Linked DNA regions of Lepisosteus oculatus. The protein of the gene in region 2 interacts with the protein of the main gene of each other region in a biochemical or structural test. Links are inferred from orthologs where the notes say so. Each region holds a gene or a part of one and is shown on either strand. Other genes may lie near its edges.

Evidence for each region. The genes of interacting proteins can lie anywhere in the genome.
Region 1: the proteins of parp9 (region 2) and E3 ubiquitin-protein ligase DTX3L-like form a complex in vitro, tested with the Homo sapiens proteins (3 studies listed by BioGRID). The link is inferred for Lepisosteus oculatus from reciprocal best matches to the Homo sapiens genes PARP9 and DTX3L.

The regions. Positions count from the first base shown.
Region 1 is NC_090696.1:14,713,077-14,720,802, forward strand, and holds the start of E3 ubiquitin-protein ligase DTX3L-like, read left to right. Parts: upstream 1-4,720; 5' UTR 4,721-4,945; intron 4,946-7,703; 5' UTR 7,704-7,726. Other genes in the region: extended synaptotagmin-1, read left to right, coding at 1-12, 155-286, 379-484, 1,262-1,311, 1,437-1,464.
Region 2 is NC_090707.1:6,605,193-6,612,604, forward strand, and holds the start of parp9 (protein mono-ADP-ribosyltransferase PARP9), read right to left. Parts: upstream 3,008-7,412; 5' UTR 2,473-3,007; intron 2,414-2,472; exon of another isoform or gene 2,271-2,413; intron 2,220-2,270; exon of another isoform or gene 2,027-2,219; coding exon of another isoform or gene 1,976-2,026; exon of another isoform or gene 1,795-1,975; intron 1,431-1,794; 5' UTR 1,417-1,430; coding exon 535-1,416; intron 1-534. Other genes in the region: parp14rs1 (poly(ADP-ribose) polymerase family member 14-related sequence 1), read left to right, coding at 1,976-2,026, 3,349-3,631, 4,734-4,843, 5,116-5,143, 5,795-6,052, 6,533-6,754, 6,890-7,412.

The DNA.
Region 1 (7,726 bases), on a different chromosome or scaffold from region 2:
TCACGCCTGCAGGTCTGTCTCCTTGCACTGATGCTGGGTCCATCTGCGAGCGTCTGTGTGTGTGTCTCTGTGCTGAACTGTCCATGTCCACACTGTCCAGGCTGTGTCTGTGCCCCTGGGTCTATATTCATGCTGTTCCCCTGTGTCTGTCCAGGCAGTTGGCAGCCTGTGCCAAGGACGGCTCAGACCCCTACATCTCCTTCAGCCTTCTGCCGGACAAGAACAAATCCACCAAGAGGAAGACCAGTGTGAAGAAGAGAGACCTCAACCCAGAGTACAACGAGAGGTCAGGGCGGGAGGCGGAGTTCTGTCCTCGTGTGCGTGATGTGCAGCTCTCAGGGTGTGGTTCTGACCCTCTCCCTCTCTCTCTCTCTGCAGGTTCGATTTTGAACTCTCCCTAGCGGAGTCTCAGAAGAGGAAGCTGGAGCTCTTTGTCAAGAACAGTGTTTCCTTCATGAGCCGAGAGAGGGAGCTTATTGGCAAGGTCTGAATGCCCTCCTGTCTGTCACCCCATCTGTCTGCCTACCTGTTTGCCCGGCTGTCACCTGTCTGCCTGTCTATCACCTGTCACCTGTCTGACCAGCTGTCACCTGTCTGCCTGTCTATCACCTGTCATCTGTCTGACCAGCTGTCACCTGTCTGCCTGTCTATCACCTGTCTGCCTGTCTGACCAGCTGTCACCTGTCTGCCTGTCTATCACCTGTCTGCCTGTCTATCACCTGTCACCTGTCTGACCAGCTGTCACCTGTCTGCCTGTCTATCACCTGTCTGCCTGTCTATCACCTGTCACCTGTCTGAACAGCTGTCACCTGTCTGCCTGTCTATCACCTGTCTGCCTGTCTGACCAGCTGTCACCTGTCTGCCTGTCTATCACCTGTCTGCCTGTCTATCACCTGTCACCTGTCTGCCCGGCTGTCACCTGTCTGCCTGTCTATCACCTGTCACCTGTCTGCCCAGCTGTCACCTGTCTGCCTGTCTATCACCTGTCACCTGTCTGCCCGGCTGTCACCTGTCTGCCTGTCTATCACCTGTCACCTGTCTGCCCAGCTGTCACCTGTCTGCCTGTCTATCACCTGTCACCTGTCTGTCCAGCTGTCACCTGTCTGCCTGTCTATCACCTGACACCTACCCGACCAGCTGTCACCCTGGCTATTACTGTACTGTGGTCTGTCTGTAGAACGCCTCTCCGTCTGTAACCCCTGGCGTGTGTCAGTCTGTGAGTGGGCGCAGTGATGCCAGCCCCTGTTCCCTTCCCTTCCAGGTCCAGATCGACCTGGCGCAGGTGGACCTGAGCGCAGGGGTCACGCAGTGGTGAGTAGGGCTCAGGGACAAGCTCCATCACGAGGCTGAATACAGCCCCTCACATTCCTGTCCAACAGGAAACTGTTGGCTTGAGCTGCTGTCTTCCTCCCACTGACTGTGTCTCTCTCCGACAGGTACGACCTGAAACAAGAGACTCACTAGATAACCAACAGCAACTGTGATTCAGCCTTGCCCAGCGATGCCTTTCCACCCCCCCACCCTCTCTCTCCTTCTCTCCTCCCCTTCTCTCCTTCTCTTCCGTGCCAAGAATGTTTTTAAAATGAATGATTAACAGTTGAATTGTACTGCTGTAGTGTGAGTACTGGTGAGGGGCAGACGAGAGAGGGAGACATCCCCAGCCCCTAGGAGACACAAACATGCCCTTCGGCCCTGCAGCCCAGCTCAGGTCCGACCCAGGGTCAGGAGCAGGCCCTCGAAGTCACGACTGCAGGGATTCGTCTCGCGAGACTTCTGCTAGCCCCCTTGAGCTGCTAGCCCCTTGAGACTCCTGCGGGAGGCAAGGGAAAGTATTGTCTCCACGGCTCTGTTCACCTTTCGCCATGCTTTTGCATTGCTCGGTGCCTGCCCACGATTCCGGCTTATGCCCTTTCTCACTGTGTCACGATATATATATCACGACAGCGCAGCCCCGTCACGGAAGACTGGAGTCCGGAAGTTTCTGTTCTGTTGGTTTTATCACAGGCTGTGTCTGCAGTCGGAGCTCCCCTTGCCCCTTTGCTGCTTTGGTTCGGCCCTGCGCCATGCTTGGTGGCCAGTGCCAAGGTGCCCCCTGGGCACGCCCCCAACGTCGCTCAGCCCCTCCCCTACCTATGGGCGTGTCCAGGGAGCAGGTTGCAGTCTCCCTGGATTAGGGACCAGCCAATCAGCCGCAGGGAGGGAGGGGCTTTTCTCCATGGCGATGGGGATCCTGGCTGTGACGCTCGAAGGGACTGGGACTGTTCTGGAGGCAAGGGTCTCCAGCAGTCTTTGCCCTGGAGAACAGGTGCATCAGCACAGGCACCTGTACAACTGGGAGAAGCTGCTCAATTCATCCAATTAAATCAGAGACAGTGACAAGGGAGGGGAGGAGCAGGGGAAGCGGAGTCCAGGGTTCGACTGGAGAGACAGCCTTCATTTTGCCTTACCAGAATATGCCTTTTTATTTTTTGAAAAGCCAAAGATGTTTCTTGAAATGTTATGCTGTAATATCTATTTTTTAATATTAGTACTGTTGCTTTTATTGTTTTGAGAGTGATTTGAACTGGTTCATTCCATTTTTTACTGCCCAGTTTTAACCCGTGTAGCTGTGTCCTCTGGGCTCTGTGTGAGAACTATGCCTTATTGTCGGGCGTTCTTTTGCTATGACACCAGGTCCCAGGTCTCCCGTATGGTTCCCACATTCCCACACATTCCCATACAGCCCCTCACAGCCCCTCACAACCCCTCACAGCTCCTCACAACCCCTCACAGCCCCTCAAAGCTCCTCAAAGCCCCTCATACAGCCCCCCACACCCCTCACAGCCACTCTCAGACCCTCATACAGCCCCTCACAGCTCCACACAACCCCTAACAGCCCCATGCACCCCTCACAGCCTCTCACAGTCCCACACAGCCCCACACAGCCCCACACAGCCCCACACAGTCCCACACAACCCCACACAGTCCCTCACAGCCCCACACAGCCTCTCACAGTCCCACACAGCCTCTCACAGCCCCACACAGCCCTACACAGTCCCTCACAGTCCCTCACAGTCCCACACAGCCCTTCACAGCCCTTCACAGCCCCTCACAGCCCCACACACAGCCCCACACAGACATCACGCCTTGCAGCATAATGAGGAGCTGTAGGTGTTCTGTCCCGATGATGTTGTAGCACTAATAAGAACAGTGCACTTGGCACATCCCTTGTGATCGCATTTCCTCTAGATCTGGCCTGATGTGTTCAGCTCAGAGGTCATGTGTATCTTGTTTCACCCACAATCTTGGATCTGCAAATGGGGTTGTTCTTAAGACACAAAGGGTTGAGATTTAGGACCTGGTGCAATCGTGCATAAATAAACTCCTGGTTAAATTATTGTCACTATTGAAGTGTACGTTCGTTTGGACTCTGTGTTGATGAAGAAACGGGAGGTATCTATACCTCTGCAGTGACAGTGCTGTGAAGTAGAGCCCGCCAGGTGTAGCTGATGTTTTAAAATAAAAAAATGTATGTATTTCTGCTTTTGTCCCTCCAACAATATCAGCCTTGAAGAAGGAGTGGATTAACGGCAGAGCAGAAAACAGAATGGGGACAGTGAGGCTGTGTGTGTATCAGACTAGTGTTACTGAATGAGACCAGGCTGCCCAGTGTAATTCAGTCTGTGGATGGGGCATCTGCCTTTGTGGAAGAGGGATTTCTGACAGACTGACTGTACAATCACAGTATTCAAATGCCACACAAAAGACCACCGGTGTCACTGTACCGCTTTCAATAAAACTATTTGCACTGCAACACACACTCTATCTGGGGTGGTCTCTGTCTGAGTTTCTGCTGTGCACTGTGCATGTTCACACACTGGGTAAGCAGAGAGATGTCCCTGGCTATTTAGAGATATATAGGAACAGAAACCTGGTTATAAATAGACAAGGTGCTTAAATGAGTGATCAATGCCAGTTATTTAAGGTTGGGAGTGGATATCAATTTGCTCTGTCTGTTTCATGGCCACAAGCTGCAAAACTATCTAAACTGTTCTGTTTGGGTATAAAACCGAAGCTGGCGGCGACAGACAGCTGTCTTTCTGTTACCGACGTTGCACGCTGACCAACAGGTGGACAAGAGGAGCTCCTCTATAAGCAACAAAGATGTTCCTGGTTTAGACACTCCTTCCTCTCTGCACTCTGAAACACACCCGACTAGTATGCATTCCTGTGACGGGTAAAGACTGCTTGCTTTTCCAAAGAGCACTGACAGTTCTGGCTCTGTAGTCCTGGCAGCTATTCTGTTCCTGTAGCTTGCTCCTGTGCTCTGCGCTCTGCGCTCTGTCACTGCAGCAGTTCCTTGTATCTTAACGTTTTTCAGCCTGTATTGATCAGCTGCAGGAACTGTCTGCTGCCCAGGAATGTAACAGCTCCCCCTGCGGCTGCATTAGCGAGGAAACTGGATGCGACAGCAGAAATTACGTCCTATTATTATTTAAGTATTGTAGACACCTAAGCTCCTCGGTACCAATATAGTTAAATATTGACGTGCGGTAAAAGCAACGCAACAGTCAAAAAATATTTTCAAGTGAACTTCTACTTAAACAAACCCCAACATGGTGTATTTGAGTTTTAATCGAAAGTTACGTTTCCCCTGAAGCGAAAGTTCGGTTCGCGCAGATAAGACAGCAGGACAGCGCCCCCTTTTGTCCGTTGTTGGAAGCTGCGGGACTCCTTCGCTGTTTCTCTTTCATTTTAGCCGAACCGAAAGTGAATGCCAGTCTGGGCGTAGAGCAGTCGGACTTCCACCGCCGAGTCAGAAAACGGTTCAAAAACAAATCTGTTTGATCTCTTATTGTGGACACCTAGTCTTAATTTGACTTTAGAAAGACACGCTGTGCTTTGCTCCGGCAGCAGAGAAGCAGTGTAGGATCTGATAGCTGGGCAGTGTCGAGGTCTTCATAAGGTAACAATTCACTTTATACTTCCTGTTTACATTCCACCAGTTCAGTGTTGTAGCGACGTTTTATATTTAATAATTTTATTTACTTTAGTATTCATTCAGTTTAGTTTGTCTTGTCTTTAGTTTGTCGAAATGTAAACACACAGGTGTTGTCGAAATTGTAATTGACGGAAGTGCCGAGTTCAAGGTGTGAAAGAGAAAGTGACTGGAGTTGATATAATCTTGTAAAATAGAGCATATACATTCTATAATTATTTTGCTTTGCTACACTAAGCTACAGTTTTCATATGTAGACGATTGTGGAGCTATAATGTGGCCGTAGTATAGACGAGTGTGGAGCTATAGTGTGTCCGTAGTGTAGACGAGTGTGGAGCTATAGTGTGTCCGTAGTGTAGACGAGTGTGGAGCTATAGTGTGACAGTAGTGTAGACGAATGTGGAGCTATAGTGTGGCAGTAGTGTAGACGAGTGTGGAGCTGTAGTGTGACAGTAGTGTAGATTAGTGTGGAGCTGTAGTGTGACAGTAGTGTAGACGACTTTGGAGCTATAGTGTGACAGAAGTGTACATGAGTGTGGAGCTATAGTGTGGCACAGTAGTGTAGATGAGCGTGGAGCTATGGTGTGACCATAGTGTAGACGAGTGTGGAACTATAGTGTGACAGTAGTGTAGACGAGTGTTTAGCTATAGTGTGGCAGTAGTGTAGACGAGTGTGGAGCTGTAGTGTGGCAGTAGTGTAGACTAGTGTGGAGCTATAGTGTGGCAGTAGTGTAGACGAGTGTGGAGCTATAGTGTGACAGTAGTGTAGACTAGTGTGGAGATATAGTGTGGCACTAGTGTACAAGACTGTGGAGTTATAGTGTGGCAGTAGTGTAGGTGCATGTGGAGCTATAGTGTGACAGTAGTGTAGACAAGTGTGGAGCTGTAGTGTGGCAGTAGTGTAGACTAGTGTGGAGCTATAGTGTGGCAGTAGTGTAGACGAGTGTGGAGCTATAGTGTGACAGTAGTGTAGACTAGTGTGGAGATATAGTGTGGCAGTAGTGTACAAGAGTGTGGAGTTATAGTGTGGCAGTAGTGTAGGTGCATGTGGAGCTATAGTGTGTCCGTAGTGTAGACGAGTGTTGAGCTATAGTGTGGCAGTAGTGTAGACGAGTGTGGAGCTATAGTGTGACCGTAGTGTAGACGAATGTGGAGCTGTCGTGTGGCAGTAGTGTAGATTAGTGTGGAGCTGTAGTGTGACAGTAGTGTAGACGACTTTGGAGCTATAGTGTGACAGAAGTGTACATGAGTGTGGAGCTATAGTGTGGCACAGTAGTGTAGATGAGCGTGGAGCTATGGTGTGACCATAGTGTAGACGAGTGTGGAACTATAGTGTGACAGTAGTGTAGACGAGTGTTTAGCTATAGTGTGGCAGTAGTGTAGACGAGTGTGGAGCTGTAGTGTGGCAGTAGTGTAGACTAGTGTGGAGCTATAGTGTGGCAGTAGTGTAGACGAGTGTGGAGCTATAGTGTGACAGTAGTGTAGACTAGTGTGGAGATATAGTGTGGCAGTAGTGTACAAGAGTGTGGAGTTATAGTGTGGCAGTAGTGTAGGTGCATGTGAAGCTATAGTGTGTCCGTAGTGTAGACGAGTGTTGAGCTATAGTGTGGCAGTAGTGTAGACGAGTGTGGAGCTATAGTGTGACCGTAGTGTAGACGAATGTGGAGCTGTCGTGTGGCAGTAGTGTAGATTAGTGTGGAGCTGTAGTGTGACAGTAGTGTAGACGACTTTGGAGCTATAGTGTGACAGAAGTGTACATGAGTGTGGAGCTATAGTGTGGCACAGTAGTGTAGATGAGCGTGGAGCTATGGTGTGACCATAGTGTAGACGAGTGTGGAACTATAGTGTGACAGTAGTGTAGACGAGTGTTTAGCTATAGTGTGGCAGTAGTGTAGACGAGTGTGGAGCTGTAGTGTGGCAGTAGTGTAGACTAGTGTGGAGCTATAGTGTGGCAGTAGTGTAGACGAGTGTGGAGCTATAGTGTGACAGTAGTGTAGACTAGTGTGGAGATATAGTGTGGCAGTAGTGTACAAGAGTGTGGAGTTATAGTGTGGCAGTAGTGTAGGTGCATGTGGAGCTGTAGTGTGGCAGTAGTGTAGACTAGTGTGGAGCTATAGTGTGGCAGTAGTGTAGACGAGTGTGGAGTTATAGTGTGGCAGTAGTGTAGATGAATGTGGAGCTATGGTGTGACCATAGTGTAGACGAGTGTGGAACTATAGTGTGACTGTGGTGTAGACTAGTGTGGAGCTGTAGTGTGGCAGTAGTGTAGACGAGTGTGGAGCTATAGTGTGGCAGTAGTGTAGACGAGTGTGGAGCTATAGTGTGGCACTAACAGGGGATGGATTTCTGGACTCTGGACCAGAGAGTTGTGGGTTTGAATCCCAGCTGGGATGTTGCAGTTGTTTGTTTGAGCGGGGTGATTCAGTCAAGCTGCACGCTGTCTTTTGGACTCTGGAACTGTTGTTTTACATGGTGGACTGGATTTTCAGTGCAGAGGTCCAGTAGCTTCTGCGAGACACAGAAGAGGCTGTTTGTGCGGCCCTGTGACAGATTCAGACTGGACAGAGTGTTTTTAGAGGGGTGAGTTACCACATCCTGAGACTGCTGGAGTTGAGTACCGCGCTTTCTTAACTAGGAGGAAAGAGGCATGATTAAGACAGAGACTTGGGGGAGGAAAAAAACCTCGAATCACAGGGCGTAATGTATTGTTTTTGTAAAAATTTAGGAAGCCACTTCCTGAGTGACACT
Region 2 (7,412 bases):
AGTAGGCAGAAGCAAGAGAAACAGACACAAGGAAGAGAGAGACACAGACAGTAAAGGAAGAGACAGAGAGAGATACAAGAAGGCACCATGTTTGAATCAACTCTTACGACCAGATTCTAGTTAAATATTTGAACCCTGTTTGAGAGAGCTTGCTTCTGTGTTTTAGGAAACACAGTCCCTTTATGATGATTTCCCACGGTAAACTTTTCACTCCTAGTTAGTGGATGCAGTGCGAGATGGGGCCCCATTCACTTTGGATTGTATCCTGTTTTATTTAGGATGAAGGTTTCTCTCTCTTTTTAGCATGTTAGGTGTTTTATAGGATTTGGAATACTGGTTAGCAGTCTCAGGGTTTTTTTGGTTGGTCAGGATACAGGCCATTGGTTATCACAGTTTGCCTGTGATTCTTTATTCTTTTGCTAAATCTGTGCCAAAGAATAAACAGCTCAAGTGCCCCCAACTAATGTGCTGCATTTGATTTTTGATCAACAATCTGAGTGACATGTATCTTCTCGAGACGATCAGAAATCCTACCTTTTCGTTTTCGATGCTCCCTTTTTTGATGTGCAGAGTGACCCTCCCGAGCTGCAGTGAGCCCGTGGCCTGTGGATTCGCGGGGCTCCTGACAGCCTGACTGTAGGACCTGTCTGGCCTCAGGAATTGTCTGCAGGCCCCCTCCATGGCACGAACCGAGGGCTCGTCATTATTGACCAGGCGGACATCTACATCCCCTAGGTGTATCTCGTCCTCAAGATACTCTTTCAGAGTTTTCACAAGGACTTCTGCACACAGTGGTAGAGGGAAGTTAAATATGCCAGAGCTCAGGGCAGGGATGGCCACAGACTTCAGTTTTTCTCTCTTTACTATATCTAAAATGCTACAAATAGCTTTTTTTAAAAGAGGTGCAGCTCTGTCAAGTTCTGTTTGACTGGGGTAAGGACTGCAGCGTGGACCTACTGCATGGATGATTGCCTTACAGGGCAGCTGTCCTGCCTGTGTGATTACAGCGTCTCCCGTCCTTACTTTCCCATTAAGCTGGATTAAATAATTGCTCGCATGTTGTATTTCTGGGCCGCCAGCGATAGAGAGAGCAAGGGCGAGGCCGCCACAGTGATCCAAGTCCTCGTTGGCGGCGTTGACCACCGCCTCCACCCGGTGAGCGGTCAGGTCGTCCTTCCAGACGGAGAGCATCGACCCCCTCCCCAGCCTCGCCGAAAACCTCTTTTCGGGAACGAGGGCCGGCCTGGAGGAGCTCGGGGAAGACCAAACTTGGTCCGCGGGGTTGAGCGCAGCGTTGCAGCCGAACTTACTGAGGACAACCGCGCCCAGGTCGGCACTGCCGATCAACATCCGCGCGATCTCCCGGGCGATCGGGACCTCCGAAGAGTCCGCTCGGCTCTGGAGTCCTGAGCTCATCCTGCACCGGAAAGCTGCGAGAGGAGAAAGCGGCACACGTTATTCCAGAAATCTCTGGGGCTCCTCTACAGCCCGAATCGAGCACAAAGGGAGAATCTACCTTCAGAAACAAGGGGCTTGTTTCCCATTGCTGATATGTGTTTACTCCTTCCTGCATGCTGAATGGTTCTGCTTCATGAAAAAACACTGAGACATTGGTACATCACATCTGTATTTAGGATGTTGGGGAAATGTGACATTTAGTAATCCATTACAGATTGTCACTTGTGTAAGGGATTACTTTTGTATACTGGAAAGTCATTAGGGGAAAAAGGTTTGAAATACATTACAGTAATCTATGAAGTGTGTGCATAAATAATATGAAAAAATATTACCTACCTCTCAACGTTCCCCAATTTCTTATTAATTTTAAAAAGTATGTTTTACACAAGTAGCATGAATTACTTTTCAAAAGTGACTCTGACACCGTTCGCGCTGTCAACACAATTAAAACTGAAAAACGGGCGTACACACACTGAAGACAAAACTTTCATTTTCTCAGAAGACTTGTGCAGGTATAATGCGCCATAAAACGAAAATCAGGAAGAACCGGGGAGAGATACAAGTAAAGGTAACGAAAGACGCGAAAGGATAACTTTGACGTTCATGCTCCGAGACAGTTCTTTCCGCGTCACCATTGCTGTTTGAGCACAGGACTGAAGGACCTGCTCTCGGAATCTAGACTAGGGCTCGTAGCGACGTCGCAATACGTAATGCAAGTTTGTCGCCTATCGCTCGCTCACCCTTTGCGCTCTCTTTATTGTCGTGTTATCATTTTTTTTTTGTTGTTCGAGTATGAACGAGAACCTACTAACCATTGAAAACTAAAAATTAGTGAATTCCCCCGCTGGTGCGAAAATAAAATCTGCGTTGCACATGAAAAGGACTTGCTATTTTCTGCTTGTTGTTTTTCCAACTTTCTTTGCAGACCCCGATTAAAAAAACTAAATTTCACCAAATGAAACGGAACACAAATCCCGATGGTCGCATAGAAAAGATGATACAGTCATGATTTACCAGCAAAAGAAGAGAGCCACAGGAATGAAGTCTTTCTTTTTCGGCGTTAAGTTTCCTTTTGACCTCCTAGCAGAATCCAGGCAGAAAAAAACAGCCCGTCGCCCGGAATCGAAAGTGAAAGTCGAGCTGTAGCTGTAGCAAAACAGCTCTGGCCGACCGTCCCGCAGAAGTCGCACTTTTCCTCGTAGATGTGGAGAGAGACTGGGTGCGGTACCTGGCTTTTTTTTTCGTAGCATTAAGTCACATATTAGCGAATTAAAATCAGTTGTTATGTTCTTCGGGGGTTTTATTATGTGGCGTTAATATGCGATTATGAGATTAAAGCGTTACCAAGTCCTGGTTGTATACGATCGCTGTATCATCGTAAATGTGATACAGAATAGAGAATATAGTGCGTTTAGAGTCCTCTGGAAGTGTGAGGGCTACGCGTCGGCGTTTTGCAACTTTCTTCAAAGCCTTTTCATGCACATGATCTTTCCGAAGTCTGAACTCCACTAAGAGCAGTGTCCCGTTTAGAATAGCGGACTTTATCGCTGAGGTAAATTGCGGTCGGTGTCGCCTGAGATTGTCCCTCTATAACAAATGGAGAATTCTCGCAACTGAAATTTAAAATCTGTGTTTTAAAAATATATATTTTTTTATCAAAGAGGAGTATTTTAGGGAACAGCAATGTATGTATTGCTGAAATGAGACAGAAAAATGATTATTTGCATATGTTGTTGTCCTGAATATTAACGAAACAAAAACGAGGGATTGTATAATGATTTCGCGGAGCTGTATTCTTTGTATGATCCTGTCGTCAGGATTTTATGACCATACAAGCTTGATAAAACATTCAGCATTAACCGTATTACAACTTCCTGCTGGTCTTTACAGCGGCAGGAGGACGAGGGGATTTCCGAGAAAACAGAACCGAAACGAAAGCGCCGCTCCGAGACAAGTACAGCTCCGAGGGGCTCGACCGGGCTGAGCCGAGAGATGGCCGAGCGCTACCTGTACCCTGTCTGGGTGGAAGGCGATTGGACTGGCATTCCCAATCTGAAAAACAAGCTCCAGATTTACTTTCAGAGTAAGAAGAAGTCCAGTGGAGGGGACTGCCAGGTGGATTGTGGAGACGTCGGGGAACGAAAGGCTGTCGTGTGGTTCAGAACTGAGGAAAGTAAGTACCGTCCACACATACAGTACATTTCTTTGGCGTAAATCACCTTTCTTAAATCTGTAAAGACCTACATTCTCAGGTGTTAGTGCGTCTTTCCGAGATGTCTGCATGTTGCTCAAAATGGTCAAATCGACCTATTAACTGCGTGTGGCCGATAAAGCTGTAGGAACAGCAAATAAAGTTCATGCAGAGGTAAGGATTTACCTTGTGATACACCAGACATGGGAGGGTTTTGCAAGTCACATTTCGATGCACGTTCGTGCTATTGTAAATTAAATATGTATAAATAAACGATATTCAAAATGAAAGTAATTTGCTTATTACAAATCTGTGATCAAATGTCATAATATAATACAGCAAAATATAACCTTAAGTAACAGTTATTACTTATTTTAAATATTGAGTATAAGAAATTATATAAATTATATCAGAGAGCTGGGTTTCATTCCACCTGTGCTCTTTATGACTTAACAGAAACAGATATTGTTTTTATTGGTCTTAACTAGTTCATTTTACATAACCTGCAGAGCTGCAGCTCTCAGGGATTAGGGATGAACTCCCAGACCAGCATGACTGAACACAGGAGTTACCAAACCTGGAGAGGACCTGCAACACAGTTGCAGCTAATGAATATCTAATACACTTGTTGATTTTACTCCACTCCTTCCCTGAATCGCAACTAACCCAGACTGCATCACCAAAAGCTACAAAACTCAGACTCTTTGCTTGAGGCTTGTAAGTCAGCTCCAGACCTCTTTCTTGGGGTATGTCTGAAGATTCATCTCCAAAAAGCTGGTGTCTTTATCTCAGTCTGAGAGTCACATGTCCATAATCACAGCCTCAATAAGGAAGAATGAATGGAGTGTGGGGGAGTCCTGCTGGTGCAAGGCCATCCTGTGGTTAATTAGAACATACAGTAGTTCTGGAAGCAATACAAGAGCCCACAAATGGTGTTAGAAGTTAGAGTGTGTCAAAAACAAATGAGAGCACTAAAACCAATGTGCCATACTGTCCACTAACCTTGAGCCTTTGGAGAGAGTGGGCAGTGAAACCAGCAAGTCAGTAATTACTGGTTGTGAACAGCATTCTCTCCAATTTTCAGCCAGGCAGCGCATTCTTGAGAAGGGGAACCATGCGCTGAAGTTAGACAAAAGTGTGGTGAAGCTGACTGTCAGAAAACAGGAACAACCAGCTGAGAAAAGCCCAGAGCCAGTAAGTGATGTAGATTTGCAGGTGGTGGGGTGCTTATCGCGCATCACCCTCATTTTTCTGTGTTCTAAAGAGACCTGAGTATAATATTCTACAGACGTATGAAAGGTTTACATTTACAAAAAAAAATCAAGACTTAAGCTAAATCATAAAGTACACAATGTGTCAACTACTCTGACATAAAATGGCACAAGCCTGAGAGAGAAAAAAGCACAATTAGCTGTTCAGTTTTATAATCTAGGAATAAAATGCAGATATGTTGTTTCTTATTTCAGATAAAAGAATCTTCTGGCACACATAAATGTAAGTATAAAGCATTTTAATGAAATGGACAACTGTAAAAGCATGATTGCGTTCAAACCCTGTTCTTTTAAAAAAAACGTGGAAACTGTCAGTGAGTGGGTATTGCTGTTGCTTCCTGGCTCCAAGGCCCTTGGTTTGACTGTGGCTCAGTCCGTGTGGAGGATGTGGCATGTAATCGTCTTGTTTGTGTGGGATTTGTCCCACAGTCCAAGGACATGCTGTTCAGAAATCAATTATTTGGCATCTCTGAATTGCTTTCTGCATGTGTGTGTGCCCTGGCGTCCTGTCCAGGGTGTGGTCATGCCTTGTGCCATGTGCTGGATGACACTCCCTTTGACACTTTTCAGTTTCCCAAGGGCAAGAATAAGAGCTCCTGAAAATGAATGGTTGGTTTTCAAAATTATATTTTGCAGTTTTATATTGACTATTGTTTAACATGTGAATAGGCATCCGGCTCTGATACCTCCTGCCTTGCATGGGAAGAATAAGAATGTGTGAACACACTCCTCTGGTCCATCTCTCTTCATAGTCTTCATTAGAACATGAGATTGCAAAAGCTCTGAATAATTCTAAATTAAGATCTAGAATTATAATACCATAAGTGAACGCCATTGCATTTTTAGCCTCTTGATTGCAATACCTCTCTTGCAGCGTCTTCATCTTCTACTCTCAAAGATGCTCCAGAAGAATCCAGTGTTTCTTCCAAAGTTCAGGAAAAAAACACAGATCCAGATGAAGACATTCCAGAGACAGCCTCTTTGGTGCTGGAAAATGTTCAGGAGAAAATTAGCAAGGATTTTCTGGAGATGCTGGTGGAAAACATCGCAGATTGCTCTGCAGAGTCTGATTTCAGTTTAGAGATCATATATGATATAAATGCAGCAGTTGTGTCATTTAAAAACAGCAAAGGTAAGATTATGTGGAGGCGTGAAATGAAACATGCGTTACATATTGATAGAAAGTTAATTTTTTTCTGTTAAATCAGTTAAATCTGAGATTACACCTCTGTGAGCAGCTGGTATTTAGCTTCTTGCCTTTCAGTATATCACAAATCTCACTGGCATGAACAAAAATCATATTAAAAGATTTGGAGATCTTCCCTGTTTAAAATTCAGTGCATGTTATCTATAAGGCGTTTCTGTATTGCCTTCTGTGTGTGTAGGGGTGTGTGGATATGTGAGTGTGCACCCTAAGTTGGACTGTTCCATTTTCAGTGCAGTTGTCAACTTGCACTCTGTGTTTGCTGGGTCAGGCTCTGCCCCACCCCAACCCTCTGAGGATAAACTGGTACTGAAAATGGATGAAAAATTGATGAATGTTGAGTGACGAGAGACTGTGATTCCAATATACAATGAGTCAGTCATGGAGAAGAATCGCTTGTATTTGCAGATGTTCAGACCTTTCTTGCCAAGTGTGCCAAAAACAAGATGTTCAGACAGTGGAATTTAGTTGCCCGACCCCTTGAAGTCACCACAAGTGTGAAAGTGGAAAACATTCCTTCAGTTACCAAAGACTTTATGGAGCTGTACTTCGAACGAGAGGGAGAGGTGAAAGAGGTTCTGATGATGGATGGGGAGCAGTCAGCTATTGTAACCTTTTTGGACCACAGAGGTAATGCTTCTTAAAAACATGATGCATTATTAAATTATTTTTCATGTTCCTCCACCTGTTTCAGTAATTCAATATTTAATTGAAACCAGAAACCAACCCTTTCATCATAATTGTATATGTCTGTTTTTGTTCCAGTTGCTGAAAACGTAATAAGAAAAAGACATCAGATCAGTAAAGTGCCCATCAGTGTGTACCTGTATTATGAGTCCCTGGGCACGGCTTTATATGGCAAAGACAGACCAGTGTGGAAGCTGCCAGACCCCTTTACTGAAAGCATTGACCAGGCCCTGTGGAAGTTTCTTCATACAGGTCAGAAGCAGGTGACAGTCATCAGCAGTCAGATGGAGAAGCACTTCTGTGAGGTGGACTTGAGAAACTCCACTGTCAGGATCAGCCCATTACCAGCCTTGCTGAAGCAAAAAGGTTTGACAGCCAAGCACATTGATGCTTGGAAAGAGAATGCTTCCGCTGCCTTCCGCAATACCATGTCCAAGTACAGTTCCTTTGAATATCCTGTGAATCCCTCAGTGTGGAGTGAATCTGAGAAGGAAATCCGCAGAGCAGTGACACAGGCAGCAATCTTGGAGCCTGACATGACTAAAGAGTCTGTAGCTGTAGCAGGCTTGTCCGAAGATGCTAACAGACTAAAAGAGATGCT